2 linked regions of the Drosophila melanogaster genome follow. The gene in region 2 interacts genetically with the main gene of each other region. Each region holds a gene or a part of one and is shown on either strand. Other genes may lie near its edges.

Region 1 (7,486 bases), on a different chromosome or scaffold from region 2:
GATTGCTTGGTATTGTCGCTGAACCGCGCGCCCGGGCTAATCCACTACCGACCAGAAATGATCTCGAAGGCTTTCCCAAGCTCCGACGTGCACTCACCTACAAATCAGACATGGAAAATCGGTGCCAAACGACTATATAAAAAACTTATTAACGAGACGCCAGGGATGTTGATGTTGGCCAACAGTGTGGTATCAACAGTGCAGTGTGTGCTGTTAGGCGCGAAGTGGTTGCTGTTAAGTTGTTTTGTTTACCCGCAGCGATGCCCGCTCGGTTGTTTTACAGCCGCCAATGGCTAGTTCTAGCCGCAGCTTTCGTTTCCTGGCTGCTTTCCAGCTAAATGCGTACCCTTTGAACTAACCGTTATCTTATTTACATATTAAATTTAATAAAAATATACAAAATCCACACGAAACAAACAAACTAATGATTTAAAGGGACTCAGAATAGAGCACGCTCTCAATAGCATAAGCTTTTATTGATTTCCTTTACCTGTTGATTAATTGCAAAAATTCTTCTTGAGGTTTTAAAGTTTATTTTCTTACGTATAAATTTTAAAAATAGGCCAAAAAAATAAAGTTTCTCGCGTGCATCACAAATAAATACCAACAAGGAGTAATACTAGCAACACGGCTGCGAGTATCACGATGAGCATTATCTTTTTCTGCAAATACAAGGGAAAATGCCTTTTAGAACCCAACGCTCTCGGGGATTCGCAGTGTGCCCACCTTGCGCGCCTTCTTCTGGTGCTGCTCCGCCTGGTCCAGCTCGTCGGCGCCCTTGTCCACGTGGAGCGTGGCCTGCTGGGCGTGAAACTCCACCCGCTGGATCACCTCGCTCTGCTCCATTACCAGGGTCTGGATGCGCATGAACAGGGCGTGCACCTCCTCGATGGACTTCTCCAGGCGGCGCAGCTCGTTGAATCGATCCATCATTTCGCGCAGTGTCTGCCGCTCCTTTTCCGTTTCCTGCAGAAACTAAAAATACAAAAATTGTTATTATAAAGATTAAGCAAATGTCTACATTTATTTACTATTTGCAATACAAATACCTTTTGATCTTTACATTTTGTGTTAAATTGAAGGTTAATTAACAGAGAATGTTAGAAAGGGCGGGTGAAGATCTTATTTTATTGATTTACCGTTGGTCCTTGATCGTTTTCTCTTCAAGTCTTCCTCTTCCCTTTTTCTCAGCCACATCCAAATACGCACGTGATTTTTAATTGTGCGTCGCGAAATGAGGTTTGTTGTATTTAACATGGTTTAGATGTAAATGTAAGTATCGGCATTGTGATACGAAGCATTTGCGCGCTTTTTCTTTCTAAGTTCGCGGTAATTTGGCGTTTTCAATGGCGCGCGAAATATGTTTGTGTGTATAGAATGTGCGCGCTAAAATCCGCATTTACATATGTATGTATGAACATACACAATGTGTGTGTTGCGCTAAATAAGCTTCCACTTTTTTTTTATGGTGAACCACTGAGTTTCTATTATATATATAAATATGTATAGCTTAGCTATACGGCTAATGTAATTAATCTATGTACGTGATAATCTGTATTGCAGAACATAATGCTTTATTTAACATCCTCATTAACTAATAGATGATGTTAAAACAACAGCGGCAAACAGAGAGAGTGCATATGAGTTTGATTTACCGTTGGCCCTTGATCATTCCCTGTTTAAATCTTCCTCATTCCTTCTTCTTCCCGAGCATCGACATACGCACGTGTTTTTTAACTGCGCGCCGCGAAATAAAGTTTATTGAATTCAACGATCTTTAGATGGTGAAAAGTGTTACTTGAGTAAATGCGAGTATGCGCATTGTGATGCGAAGCATTTGCGCGTTTTTCTTCCTAAATTCGCTGTAATTTTGCGTTTTCAATGGCGCGCGAAATATGTTTGTATGTATAGAATGTGTGTGCTAACATCTATTTACACATGTATGTAATGTAATGTGTGTGTTGCGGTAAATTAGCTTCCACTTCTTTTTTTATATTTTTTGATGGTGAACCACTGAGTTTGAAAATATATTCTATTCAATATAAAAATGTATAGCCTAACCACTCAACCAATATAATTAATCAACGTATGTGATAATCTGTATTGCAGAACATAATGCCTTATTTAACAGCCTCATTAACTAATAGATGATGTTAATACAACAGCGGGAAACAGAGAGAGTATGTATGAGTTTGATTTACCGTTGGCCCTTGATCATTCCCTGTTTAAACTTCCTCTTTCCTTCTTCTTCGTGAGCATCGACATACGCACGTGTTTTTTAACTGCGCACCGCGAAATTAAGTTTATTGAATTTACCGTTGTTTAGTGCTGTTACTCGAGTAAATGCGAGTATAGGCATTGTGATACGAAGCATTTTTTTTCCTAAATTCGCGGTAATTTTGCGTTTGAGCAAAATAATTTCATACATATGTATGTATGTATGAAGGTGTGTGGGTGTTACACCAAATGAGCTTCAGTGTTTTTTTTTTCATTTTTTTTATGGTGTTCCAGTGTTGAAAAAGTTGCGAAAGTGATTATATCCTATTAGCTATTAAAATCCCAAATTTTTTTTTTTTCTGTGTAAAGCTTTACTTAAAGTGATATGAAAATGATCGTCTCGCAAATTATAGATGCGATAAAGTCAAATGAAATGAAAAATGAATACAACATCGAGGTGAGTTGCGCTCTACTGAGTAATATTTAGTAGCTAATAGTCCTAGATTGTATAAAATGTCATTTAAACTACATACTAAATGCCGAACATATTAAAATATATATGTTTATGAAACCTTTGATAAGGAATCATATCAGACAGAAGACTTAGTTGTTTGTATAATTCTTTCTTTACTCACATTATCCACAAAGAGTTTGGTTGTCTTGTTCTCGATGAGTAACTCGATTTCTTGTTCGCTGGCTTCAGAATTAACTAAAAAGTAGATTGTAACGAAGTTCTTAAACAAAATAATGTAATAGTTGCAAAGCATTTAATCAGACTCGTCCATTTTGTATCACACTTACTGATTTTTGTATGCAGTCTCAGATTCTTTTTGACCTTGGTCTCGTAGTTCTGCAGGAATAGTTCGTTTTTGTGCCACAGATTGATGAAAGTCTGGTGGAGTCCATAGAAAAGGGTTCTTTTCATCCTTGCCTCCAAGCTGTAATCGTTTTCCGCCGGCAGATTCGCCTTGAAGTCGTTGAATCGCGTCATTAGCTGATTGCCCAGCCTCAGGTTTTTGTTGTGAAGCTCATCCATCTCGTTCTCTGTGCGAATTGGATTTAGACCGTGATGCAGTGGAAGTATTCACAACTTTAGATTCAAATTCTTACCGTTGAAAGTTCGCAGATTGACAGTTTGGGCCATGCGGTTCATCGTCTCCAAGTTGGCGGCTATCTGTGCGAGTTGTTGGCGAATCTCCGTGTACTGAAAAGGAAGGATACCGTAAAAATCTATTAAAATCGTATATTCACTTCCATTGCATTTCCAGTACATTTCCTTGCTCAGGAGGAAGCAGTGCTTGTATTGCTTTTTTGCTTTGCAAGAGTTGTCTACCGTTGTTTACGTTTACATGGCGACTACTTGCCTTCTCTTCGTCCGCTCTCTTAACCACAATAAAAAACGTATTTAATGAGAAAATGTTTTTTTTTTTTTCTGGACTTATCACGAGTTTTCGCGCTACGCCGGCAGCGATTGAGTAATACAGCTGATTCATAAGTGCACACATGTGTGGGTAAGCCATAAAAAAGAAAAAAAGGGTTTCCCTCTCTCCGGCTCTCTGATCTTTTATTTCCATTGAGGGGAAACGTTTAACTATGCTAGATATTAGCTGCTTTCTGTTGTATGTTCTTGCTTCGCTAAGTATTTATAACTTTCAAGATAGCTATCTTAGGAGTTAAAGTTTCTTCTATTAACTATTTCAATACTCAATAATAGTAAAAACTTGTATGAATTCTGAAGTTGTGTTTTGTATACACTTCGATCCTTAAACTCACCGGATTGAGTATGTCATCCACATTCGAGCCATACTGCGTCATCTTTGAACTGGACCGATCCTTGGGTTCGGTGCTGCTGTTATTGTTGCTGCAGCTGTGAGAGTTTTGGCTAACGACACTGTAGCTATTATTGTTACCGCCGGTGTTGCCAATGATGAACTCCGTGGTTCCACTGTACACGTTCAAAAGCAGTGAACCGTTCGACGACGAGTTCGACGAGTTCGTGCTCAATGAGCGCTGGAATTAGTACAGCAAAAATGAGAAGAAAAAAAAATAAATAAATAAAAATAAAATAGGTCCATGCGATCCTAACGAACTGCAGGGAAAAACTGAGAAAAAACTAAATTGAAACTAACAACTTTGGTTGAGTTTATTTACGTTTGTGTGTTCACAATCTGGCGCGGTGTAAATGAACTATAAAAATGACTTCGGTACTGAAATTCACTTGGTGCTAAAAGTTTGTCGGCGGAAACGCGGGGTTGCCCCGTAAGTGTGATGTGTGGCCACATTATCGTCGTTATCTCTGGCCGATCTGATAAATGCCATAGCGAACACCCACCAAACCCCCTTGGCTCACAAGTCGAAATAGTGCCAAAAGCGCCAACAGAAATGTGAGAGATTGGGCCAATTGTAAAGAAGGTGGCAGCACCTTGGTCAGAATGTGTTTCAACGTGCCGCAAAAAAAAAAAAAACTTTGATTAGGATTACTTTTTACCGAGAAAAGTGGAATCCTTTTCCTGGCAAATACCACCAAATGTATTTCATCGTGTTAAGTAGATTTTATTCGTATTGCGGTTTGAGTGATGCCAAACCACTGTGCTTCAAACTAATTAGCAGTTACCTCATCCCAACCTCCCAACCAACCACCCACGTTTCTAATATTTTCTTACCTGCAAAAGCTCGGGCAGTCGATCTTTACCCATTTCTGCAACTTGGACTGCCTTTGGTTTGAATTATGCCAATTATATGCCAAATTTATGCCAATTCCTTGAATTCCTTTCCAGTACTCCAAAATGTCCACTTTATATCCTTTACAGCAGCTTCTGAGCTTTGTTCCTGGTTTGTTGTTGCCGTTGCCTCCAACAGCTGTTCGCGAATGGGAAAATTTGATTGAGAGCGCAGGAGAGAGCGAAACCTGCTATCAAAGCTTATCAGCGCACAAGTTTCTGATAAGAGCCGCCTAATATTTACCGTCTGCCCTTCGGAAAGCGACAGGGCGGGGTGGAAAGTCATGGAGAGAGAGAGAGAGAGAGAGAGGGACAGTCAGAAAGGCCTAAACACAGATTATCACCTATCACATATTTGCCATTTATTGGCGGCTCTTTGCTCTCTTACTCGCTCTTTTGTTGCACACACACACAAACACAAAAAAGAAAAAAATTGGATTATGGGAAAAACTAGCTTTATGTATTTTTAAAATTTAACATGTAAATACATTCGGCTACATTTTATTCGATTTATTGAAAATCAATTCCTTTGTCTTCACCGCGCCGCATACGTTTTCGAACTAAAAAATCGACGCCGGCACAAAAACGCAGAGCCTCCCAGTCGCGTCGAGATTTCTTTCAATTCAAAAAGATTAAAGACAGCAAACACTCTGGCTACAGCCTGGGCCAAAATAATAGGCATTTTATGGTATAAATTCATTGGGCCTAATCCAAATTCAAATTAGTTATGAAAAATTCAAAAATGTACATTAAATGCAGCAATAGAATTGTGATTTGAATATACGAAGGTATTCGATTTCATGAACTTCGGTGTATTTGATATGTACGTTCATGTGCTTTAGCTGGAGAGAGATAAAGATAGAGACTCGTACTACATTATGTGTAGTTAGTGGCGATCTACATTTTTTGTTGTCTCCGAATAAAATGAATAAATCGTCTTTGCCACCGAAATGAAAACTGGTTAGGCGGCGGAGAAAAATGTGTTAATTGTTTTTATTATTATTTCTACTCTGTTGTATGGTAAACATTTCTACATTGCTCTGCCGCCTTTTGCTGTTGTTGTCGCACTTTTCACGCTCCATGTTGCCGTTCAATTGAAATAAAAGACCGAGTAAGAGAAATAAACCTGCGACGAGAACGTTCAAAAGTCACTTGCGCTAATTAGTTGAACTTTTTTCTATTGCTGGCTTTGTACTGTGCCACCATATGCATTTACAGGGTATCAGCGGGTCGCATCTATGTAGGTCAAGGGTGTAAATTCATTGTCAAGCGTTGTACTCACCACTTTTTACAACTTGATCCCTTCAAAACGCTTGTGTAAATTATACTTCTTAAGCACAGTTCAGTTGCTTGTTTCTTCGAAAGTTTCCCATAATAAATTTATTGCTATTTTGCTTACTGGGTAGCTAGATGGTCTACCCGCTTTATATTAGCAATTCTTGCGGTTGCAAAACGAAGCTTATGAACTGCCCTCAACTACGTCAACAACAATAACAAGAAAAATAAAACCATCAACACCAGACAGTTGCGAATTTCCATTTCTCATTTGGTTCGCAATTCTTCTCAAGTTGCCATGCCATTTAAAAAGACGGCAGAAAAGAATCGTGTCGCGAATTCTTCCCTCTCTAATGATTGTATAAAAAGCATACGTATACGTGATATACTGATACTTTGAATTGAACTGCATGTAGCGCCATAAGGTTAAAACATTTAAATCGATTTGGAAATTCAATGTGGAATATGTGAATTCGCGAATACCCTTTAATACACCCTTTAAACATGAACATTTACTTTTTATTGCAAAATACCAATTAATTGAGATTGAGATAAACTGATGTTTCTGAGCTTGAACTTGTTACTTTATTTTTGCTTTATTTTTTTTTTGTTTGGCTTTTAAAATGAGTCATATAAGTCATGTTTTTTTTGTGACCCCGTCGTGGAATTCGAACCGCCAATCGCTTATCAGATACATTCGGAAGGTTTTGTGAGTTCCAATATCATTTTATTAGTCGACGATTTCTTGCCAACTCGTTATTAAGAGGCATTCAATTGCTCGAAAGTCGTGAATCCGCTTTTATTTACAAACGATCGTATAGAACTCTGACTCAATGAAGATATTGTCACTTTTGTGCTGTAAAGTTAAAAAAAAAAACTGCATAACAAAGCAAAACTCAATTTAGGTGGAGTGGCTATACAAAGCAGTTTATTTTTATCAATCCATGGGATTCATTGAGTTTAGGTAATGAGAATACAAAAAGATGAAATTCTTGTTTTTCCCGCCTTTATTTGCATTGCGGACTGTAAGTCTAAAATGTATTCCAGGTTATTATTATCTATTCACTTATTTTTTTAGTGCAAATTGTTGGCAAAACAGCAACATATTCATATTCCCTGCGTTTAACACCCGCTTTTCACCTTTTTCCATTGCTTTTCCATAAACAAAGGGGTCGGAAAAGCGGAGATATTGTTATAGGCAGTCAAGTTTATTGTGCCCGTTTTTTGTTAGTTTTCTCGGCTTTCGCGCTTTCCTTTGTTTACAATTTATTTTG
Region 2 (6,899 bases):
TTTATTTTGCTACCCTCTTCATGACTGTAATGTTTACTATAATGATTATATATTTTAGAGATTCCGTTGAAATTGTGTATATCAGCTCATTTCATTTAAAAGGAAAGGTGTTACTAATTTGTTGGGGATTTTGATATTTGTCATGACTAATCATTGATTATAAATATTTCTCCTCTGTTTATATTAATAGAAATATCGTTTGAAATAAGAAATAATACTGACTCAAACGTAATTTATGAAAAAAAAGTAGGCTTATTAGCCTGAATATGTCGGTTTCAAAGCTAGCACCAAACGGAAATTGGGATCGAAAGAAATGTGCTCAACATAAATAAGCGCAAGTAGTTTGTCTTTTACAATACGACTCATTCCGTCAAAATGAGGTGGTGGCTAATAAGCGGTGGAATCGGGTGAGAAACCGGGCTAATTTCCTAATACTGCAATGGACGTTTAATGAACTGGCTGGTATCGTAAAACACCTAAATGTGGGCACTTTTTCATTCGAATAATACCCTGGGTAATTGAGCACAAAATCGAACAGATTAGTGGTCAAATGGCAGACAATGGGTGACCGTTTTTGATATGTGTGGAAAAAGAAATATAAACCAGTAACTAAATTAGAAACGTGTCTAGAGCAGAAATCGTGAGGCATACTGTGCTCTGTGCCAGAAAAACAAACGAATCGAATTGGAGCTATTGCAAACAAAGTGCAGTAAATTTATCGCCGTGAGCCATCAGAAGACCGAACAAAATTCCGTTTCTTGGGCTTATGACAATGGCAAATTTCCAGCAGACTTCGGGCCAAAAAGCTGTCCAAATCTTTTGAGATTCCTCAATGCCAGAAACGGACATCGCGAATTTTTGGATTTTGGGGTTGTGCAAAAACCGAAAAGGCAGCAAATAATAGAAATAAAGACGATTGCATCAACTTACGATCGTAGAGTCCGGTGATGTGGTGTCTAGTTTCCTTTTATGCTTTAAATATTGAATTAATTGTTTATTCCTTATAGAAAATGCCTCGGGAAAATTTTTCAATGGCCCGAAGACGACAAAAACGTGTGTGCTATCTGCTGTCAGCAAGTTTTTCTGAGCCGCTTTTTTTTATCACACAAAAACACTGGCAGCGCTGCAAAATCGTTTTTAAGCCCTGACTTCTAGGGTTTTTGTCAGTTACCCGTATTGATCACTGCACTTGGATGGGCTTTCTGTTGGTCTCTTTCTCAACTTGTTCGAACTGCGCGCAGACGCAGACCGTTACCGACTCAGCTTCTGACCAGCAGGCGCCAGTCTTTTTAAACTGACGAAAAGCTCGAACTCAACGAAAGACAGCTTAAAGCTGGCCGCAAAGCTGCGCTCTCTGAAACTTGGTCTGAACCGGGAGCTTTTGAGTGTTTGCAATGAGTAGGTCTAAATTGGTCTAAATTTTACCTTTTTATAACTTTTTATGTATTTTATTACTCAACCCTTTACTCATGAATATGGTCTAGTGTTGTAAAACTTTCTTTAAGCACCCCTGACTTCGGCTAAGACGTCACAGGTTTCTTCAACCACCGCTTTCGGCTAAACAACCCACACAAAAAGCTGCTTGCTCGTGCGCCTGCGCGAGTTTAACGATTTCCCAGCCAAGTTAAGAAGCCACTGGCAAAATAAAGTCGAACGGCTGCAGAACTGCGTTGTTGATTTTTTTTCCACAATTTGTGGATGTGAAAAATATTACAATTTTTGGATATTAATTGTGCAGGACCAGATACAAAAAAGTAAGGCTATAATACATTCAAGCAAGTAAAATGTAGGCGTAAACAGGATTACGAGGAAAACGTAAAAACTATCAAGTGGCTACTATGGCTTTTCCGAGAATCTCTGATGCTGCAATAAACAATAGATACAGATACTGGAAGTGATAGTAAAAGGGAATATTTTCAAAACGTTACGAAGACCTAAATGAAAGAAAGGAACATTTCTAAATGTGGGACTTCCCATTAAAAATGGTTTCCAGAAGTTGAAAAACCTGCAAACTTCGTGTGCGTGTGTGCAAGGGCTGCGATGATTCATGCGACCCTAGAAGAGCACCCAAGTGGCTCATATGTGTGTGTGTGTGTGTGTGTCTCTCCCGCTCTCTTGCCAGAAAGTGTGCCTGAGTGGGTGTCCTCAAGTAATGCAAATAACAACAAAAGCCAAACGTCAGCATAACCTGAGCAGAAAGCAGGCAGCTGCTGCTCACGAAAAAGCCTCTAGCATACATTTGTGCGCAAAATCGAAGCACGCAATTCTTCACGTGCCACCGAAAGTTGCAAACATCCAAAGACAGCCAGCAAAACTTTTCCTCCTCACTTTTAAACCGTGACTAATTGTTATTCCACACAGCCGCCAGGAACATCGAGTGGAAACGTGCTGAGAGCGGCTAAGCCAAATCCATTTAAAATGGCCGAAGAGTATATCCCAGATGCCAGCGTCATGGACACGAGTAAGTACCATACCATATTGCAGCATCCAATGCGACCTTAGTGGTCGATCAGTCCAATTTGCTCATTAGCAACTTGTTCAAAATGTTGCACACAAGTTGTGCCAAACTTTTTCGGTGGCTATGAATAATTAATTCGGGTCTTTGTGCCTGGATTGTCAGGTTTCGAAGGGGATACGTGCACATGTGTTATTTGTTGTGCTCTTTTATTTGGGGTGAAATGTATAAGCTCAAAACGAATTGGCGAAAGTTAATGTTCTAATAACAAAGGAAGTCTACAAACAACTCACAGCTGTGTTAGGGAGAAAAGTTCTTTCTATTTTTTCATTTCGGTGACTAATTACAGAACATATTCAAAAGTGTGATTAAACGTTTTCTTTTGTGTTTTCGGATATTAGTAAAAGATAGAAAATAAAACGCTTTTTGTTATTATTGGATATTTAAATTTAATATTCGGTATTAGATTTATAATGATAAAATGTTCTATATAATTTTCTATTATGTTTTAAATTCTTTTAATTATCCCATTATATAATTTTGAGATTGCATATTGAGCGTCTATATATGTAATCTGGAATGGGGTGCTAGTGCTAGTTAACAGTGGGTTTTTCAAAACTTCCAACACAATACGAGTAAATTTTACTTTTGTTTATGGCTTTAAGGTTACACTAGTGACATTGTCCCATCACCACCTTGCACATATTTCAATCGAAGACAACGTTTTGGGTACAACTAAACTATGCATATGTTGCCTAACATACCTGTTGTCCTTTCAGTTGTCCCCGCCATCCTGGGACTGACTGCGGCTGCTGTCCTCTCGTCAGTGGCCTGCATCTGCGCCCGGCAGATGCGCCTCCGGAACAAGAAACAGAGCCAGCACGACGCCTCGTTCCCCTTCCAGCCGACCCGGCGACCGACCGCCGTTCGATCGCCCAGCGGCCAGCCGCCGCACTACTTGAAGAAGTCGCCCTCGCCGACGGGAGGCAAGCAGATGGGACTGCTGTCGCCGATGCAGGACCAGTCCACCTCCCCGATTGCGCAACCGAATGTCAAGTACAGCGAGGAGGGAGATGGACCCGCCCAGCATGCGGAGCAGCAGAATGGCAATCAACTGACCGTGGTGGATGGTAATGGGTTGAAGCACTCGCTGCACAACAGCCTTCACCACTCGCCGGTAGAGACGATCGCCAACGGAAGTGTGACCATTACCCTGGACGACCATTCGCTGACCAACGGGAAGGAGCTGACCGTGACCGACCAGTACGGCAAGCTGGGTACCATCTATTTTAAGCTGCGCTACTTGGCCGAAAGGAACGCCCTTATGGTGTCCATCATCCGTTGTCGCGGACTCCCCTGCAAGGGAGGATCGAGCGGAACCGGAGATATTCCCACTGGCATGAATGGACGCACTCAGGCGGCAACGGATCCGTATGTCAAGCTGCAGCTGCTGCCGGACAAGCAGCACAAGGTCAAGACCCGGGTGGTGCGAAATACCCGGAACCCGGTTTACGACGAGGACTTCACCTTCTACGGCCTGAACATGAACGACCTGCAGAACATGTCGCTGCACTTTGTCATCCTCAGCTTCGATCGATACTCACGTGACGACGTCATTGGCGAAGTGGTGTGCCCATTGACCTCCATCGAGATCGGGGACATCTCCAAAGAGGCTTTGTCCATCAGCAAAGAGATCCAGCCACGGAGCTTGAAGATTCGAGCCCAGGGTCGCGGGGAGCTGCTCATCTCCCTCTGCTGGCAACCAGCTGCCGGTCGCCTCACCGTCGTCTTGCTGAAGGCCCGAAACTTACCGCGCATGGATGTCACCGGACTGGCCGATCCGTATGTTAAGATATATCTCCTCTACAATGGCCAACGCATCGCCAAGAAGAAGACGCACGTGAAGAAACGAACTCTGAGCCCCGTTTTCAACGAGAGCTTCGCATTCGATATTCCCGCCGCCGAAGTGAGTAATAGTATATTCATTTACTATTTGTTTGTAGTTTAACGAAACACCATATCAATTACCTAGCATAGATTAATTGTTAATTGTTTTCTTGTGTTCGTATAATTATCATAGAACTTAAACATGGACGGACTATTTTTGAAAAGCTTTTATAATAATTTTAAAGAATCATAAGTTAACGTGCATATCTCAATTACAGGGCGCTGGCGCCAGTCTTGAGGGTGTGTCTTTGGAACTGATGCTGCTCGACTGGGATCGCGTGACCAAGAATGAGGTAAGTCGCATGGGATGACCTAATGCCAATAGCTGGATAATTGCACGCTCGATATTTCCACAGGTCATCGGTCGGCTGGAGCTGGGCGGCCCGAACTCGAGCAGCACCGCCTTGAACCACTGGAACGAGGTTTGCAACTCGCCGCGCCGCCAGATCGCCGAGTGGCACAAGCTGAACGAGTAGGGGAGGGGCAGGAACCTCCTGGGCGCAGGCGCCCCTTAATGAGGGGGAAGGGAGCAGGAGCAGGCAACCGAAATGGGAGTCATGTGACCTCGTTGCCACCATGAATTTCTCTTTGGTTTTTGGCATATGATTGCATATTGATTGAGTTTATTTTCTACTTTCTACTTTATATTTCACTTGATTTCTGGGAGATCACTTGCTTTGAGTTTGAAGCAAGATTAATGCGAGATAATTGGCCGTTAACGCCACAAGCAGAAAAGAAATATTTACCAAGCAACCACTAACTAAATTAAATGTATTAGAAAATGTTTAGGACCCTAAAAGTGCATGTAAGTGTAAGATAATTCAGAAACATCTCAATATAGACATGTTTAAATATGAGAATAAGCAAGGCAGGGGAATTCTCAATATATTTTAAACTGACACCGACTTTGTTGCTATATATTCATGTATGATTTTCATATCAAATAGTTGAAGTTATATTTAATGTGCCCACCACTGAAGTTGATTTCCTCAAAAGATATATTATTAACCATACATCTGTATAAAATATTTATGATATCTAACGTTTAAGCATACATATGTCTGTACAATTTAATTTTAATTATTTGAATATTTTAGTTTGATTGTAAAGACCTAAAGTATACCATCGCTTTAATGGATACAAGACATCAAATTTGCACACCCCGGAAGCTCTTAAAGTTTTGTCCAGAACGAAGCAAAGATAGATGCTTACTGCTTAACACTTTATACGTACTCTTAAAAATAAAAACAAATAACTAAAACTAATGAAACAAATAAAACTAAACCAAATTGAATCTAGAGAGAACACGCAGCAGAATGCTTAGCACCAAGAAGCTACAAAACCACACACAAATCGATCGAAAAAGTCAGAAAACATTGATTCGGAGAGGAAACCAACACAATACAATAATGTAAGCAGCATAGTACATGTAGGAATCAATTACCAATAACATACTCTAGAGTATAACCACTCACGAATAGCTCAAACCGAACGCAATAAGCACTACAGGTGTATCTAGCGGCACTACCTTTAAAGGCAACGGATGGAGGAGACCCCGATGAAAGCATAGCTTAACGAAGACACCGAATCATTATCCACTACTGATATTAAGTGTACTGAATACAATTATAAACTATACCAGATCTATATAGACATCAGCCCGCTTCTACGTATATTTTGTAAACTGAGTGTTAGAGCATTAAACTTCATTGAATAACTACGTGCATACAACCATAAGGATATATACAAGCATACATAGCGATTCGCGAGAATCGCAGATACAACTTCAATTCGTGTCCAATCAAAACTTCAATTCGTCTAATGGAAAAACAATAATTACCAATACATATGCAAAGAGTTTGTGCAGAGGAACCCAAATTATATGAGATGTGTATAATTCTACATTATATGTAATTGTAATTGTAAGCTACATCAAATGGTTAATTTCAGTAATAAAAGGTATTATATAAAACAATGTGCACTGCGAATTATTTGCATTAATACGTGTCTTATCAGCTCTCTTAATTCTGTGAGTATACTATAGTTAACAGAGTTTAAAGCACTGATAAGAGGAGATTCTTGCTTATACAAAAGAGTACAGACTAACAGATACCTATTATATCATTGGATTGCACATTTCTGCTTTCCTTACTATTAGATGGGTCGCTTGCCTTGAAGTCTAATACTAAAAACAATAATTGGCAATTGTTTGCCAGATGAAAGTTCCGATCGGCCAGATCAAAGGTTCGAATTATGCTATAGCAAGGTCTGCGATGAGGAGGGTTTTTATGGTGGGTGTTTAAATGGAACTCTAAATTGCGATAGAAAGATCGACTGTTGGGATGGAAGCGATGAAAATAAGTTCGAGTGCTTGCATGATGCAAATCTAAAGAATGAGTACGAAGACCTCAAAGGGAACTGTATGTAAGTTGTATTTGCTATGAAACTCAATTGGTTGAGTTTGAGTATGTTCACGTTAGATGCTGTCCTAGTATAA

The links. A genetic interaction does not mean that the proteins touch.
Region 1: of Syt4 (region 2) and Syx4, changing one enhances a phenotype caused by changing the other (phenotypic enhancement), as found in Drosophila melanogaster (one study listed by BioGRID).

What each region holds. Positions count from the first base shown.
Region 1 is NC_004354.4:2,738,571-2,746,056, forward strand, and holds Syx4 (syntaxin 4), read right to left. Parts: upstream 5,507-7,486; 5' UTR 4,914-5,506; coding exon 4,881-4,913; intron 4,389-4,880; exon of another isoform or gene 4,347-4,388; intron 4,228-4,346; coding exon 3,991-4,227; intron 3,422-3,990; coding exon 3,328-3,421; intron 3,262-3,327; coding exon 3,019-3,261; intron 2,927-3,018; coding exon 2,853-2,926; intron 2,675-2,852; exon of another isoform or gene 2,587-2,674; intron 2,435-2,586; exon of another isoform or gene 2,235-2,434; intron 1,902-2,234; exon of another isoform or gene 1,814-1,901; intron 976-1,813; coding exon 727-975; intron 663-726; coding exon 591-662; 3' UTR 519-590; downstream 1-518. UniProt on the Drosophila melanogaster protein: Potentially involved in docking of synaptic vesicles at presynaptic active zones.
Region 2 is NT_033777.3:7,264,435-7,271,333, forward strand, and holds Syt4 (synaptotagmin 4), read left to right. Parts: upstream 1-1,630; 5' UTR 1,631-1,754; intron 1,755-2,361; 5' UTR 2,362-2,418; coding exon 2,419-2,461; intron 2,462-3,234; coding exon 3,235-4,421; intron 4,422-4,620; coding exon 4,621-4,695; intron 4,696-4,758; coding exon 4,759-4,878; 3' UTR 4,879-6,375; downstream 6,376-6,899.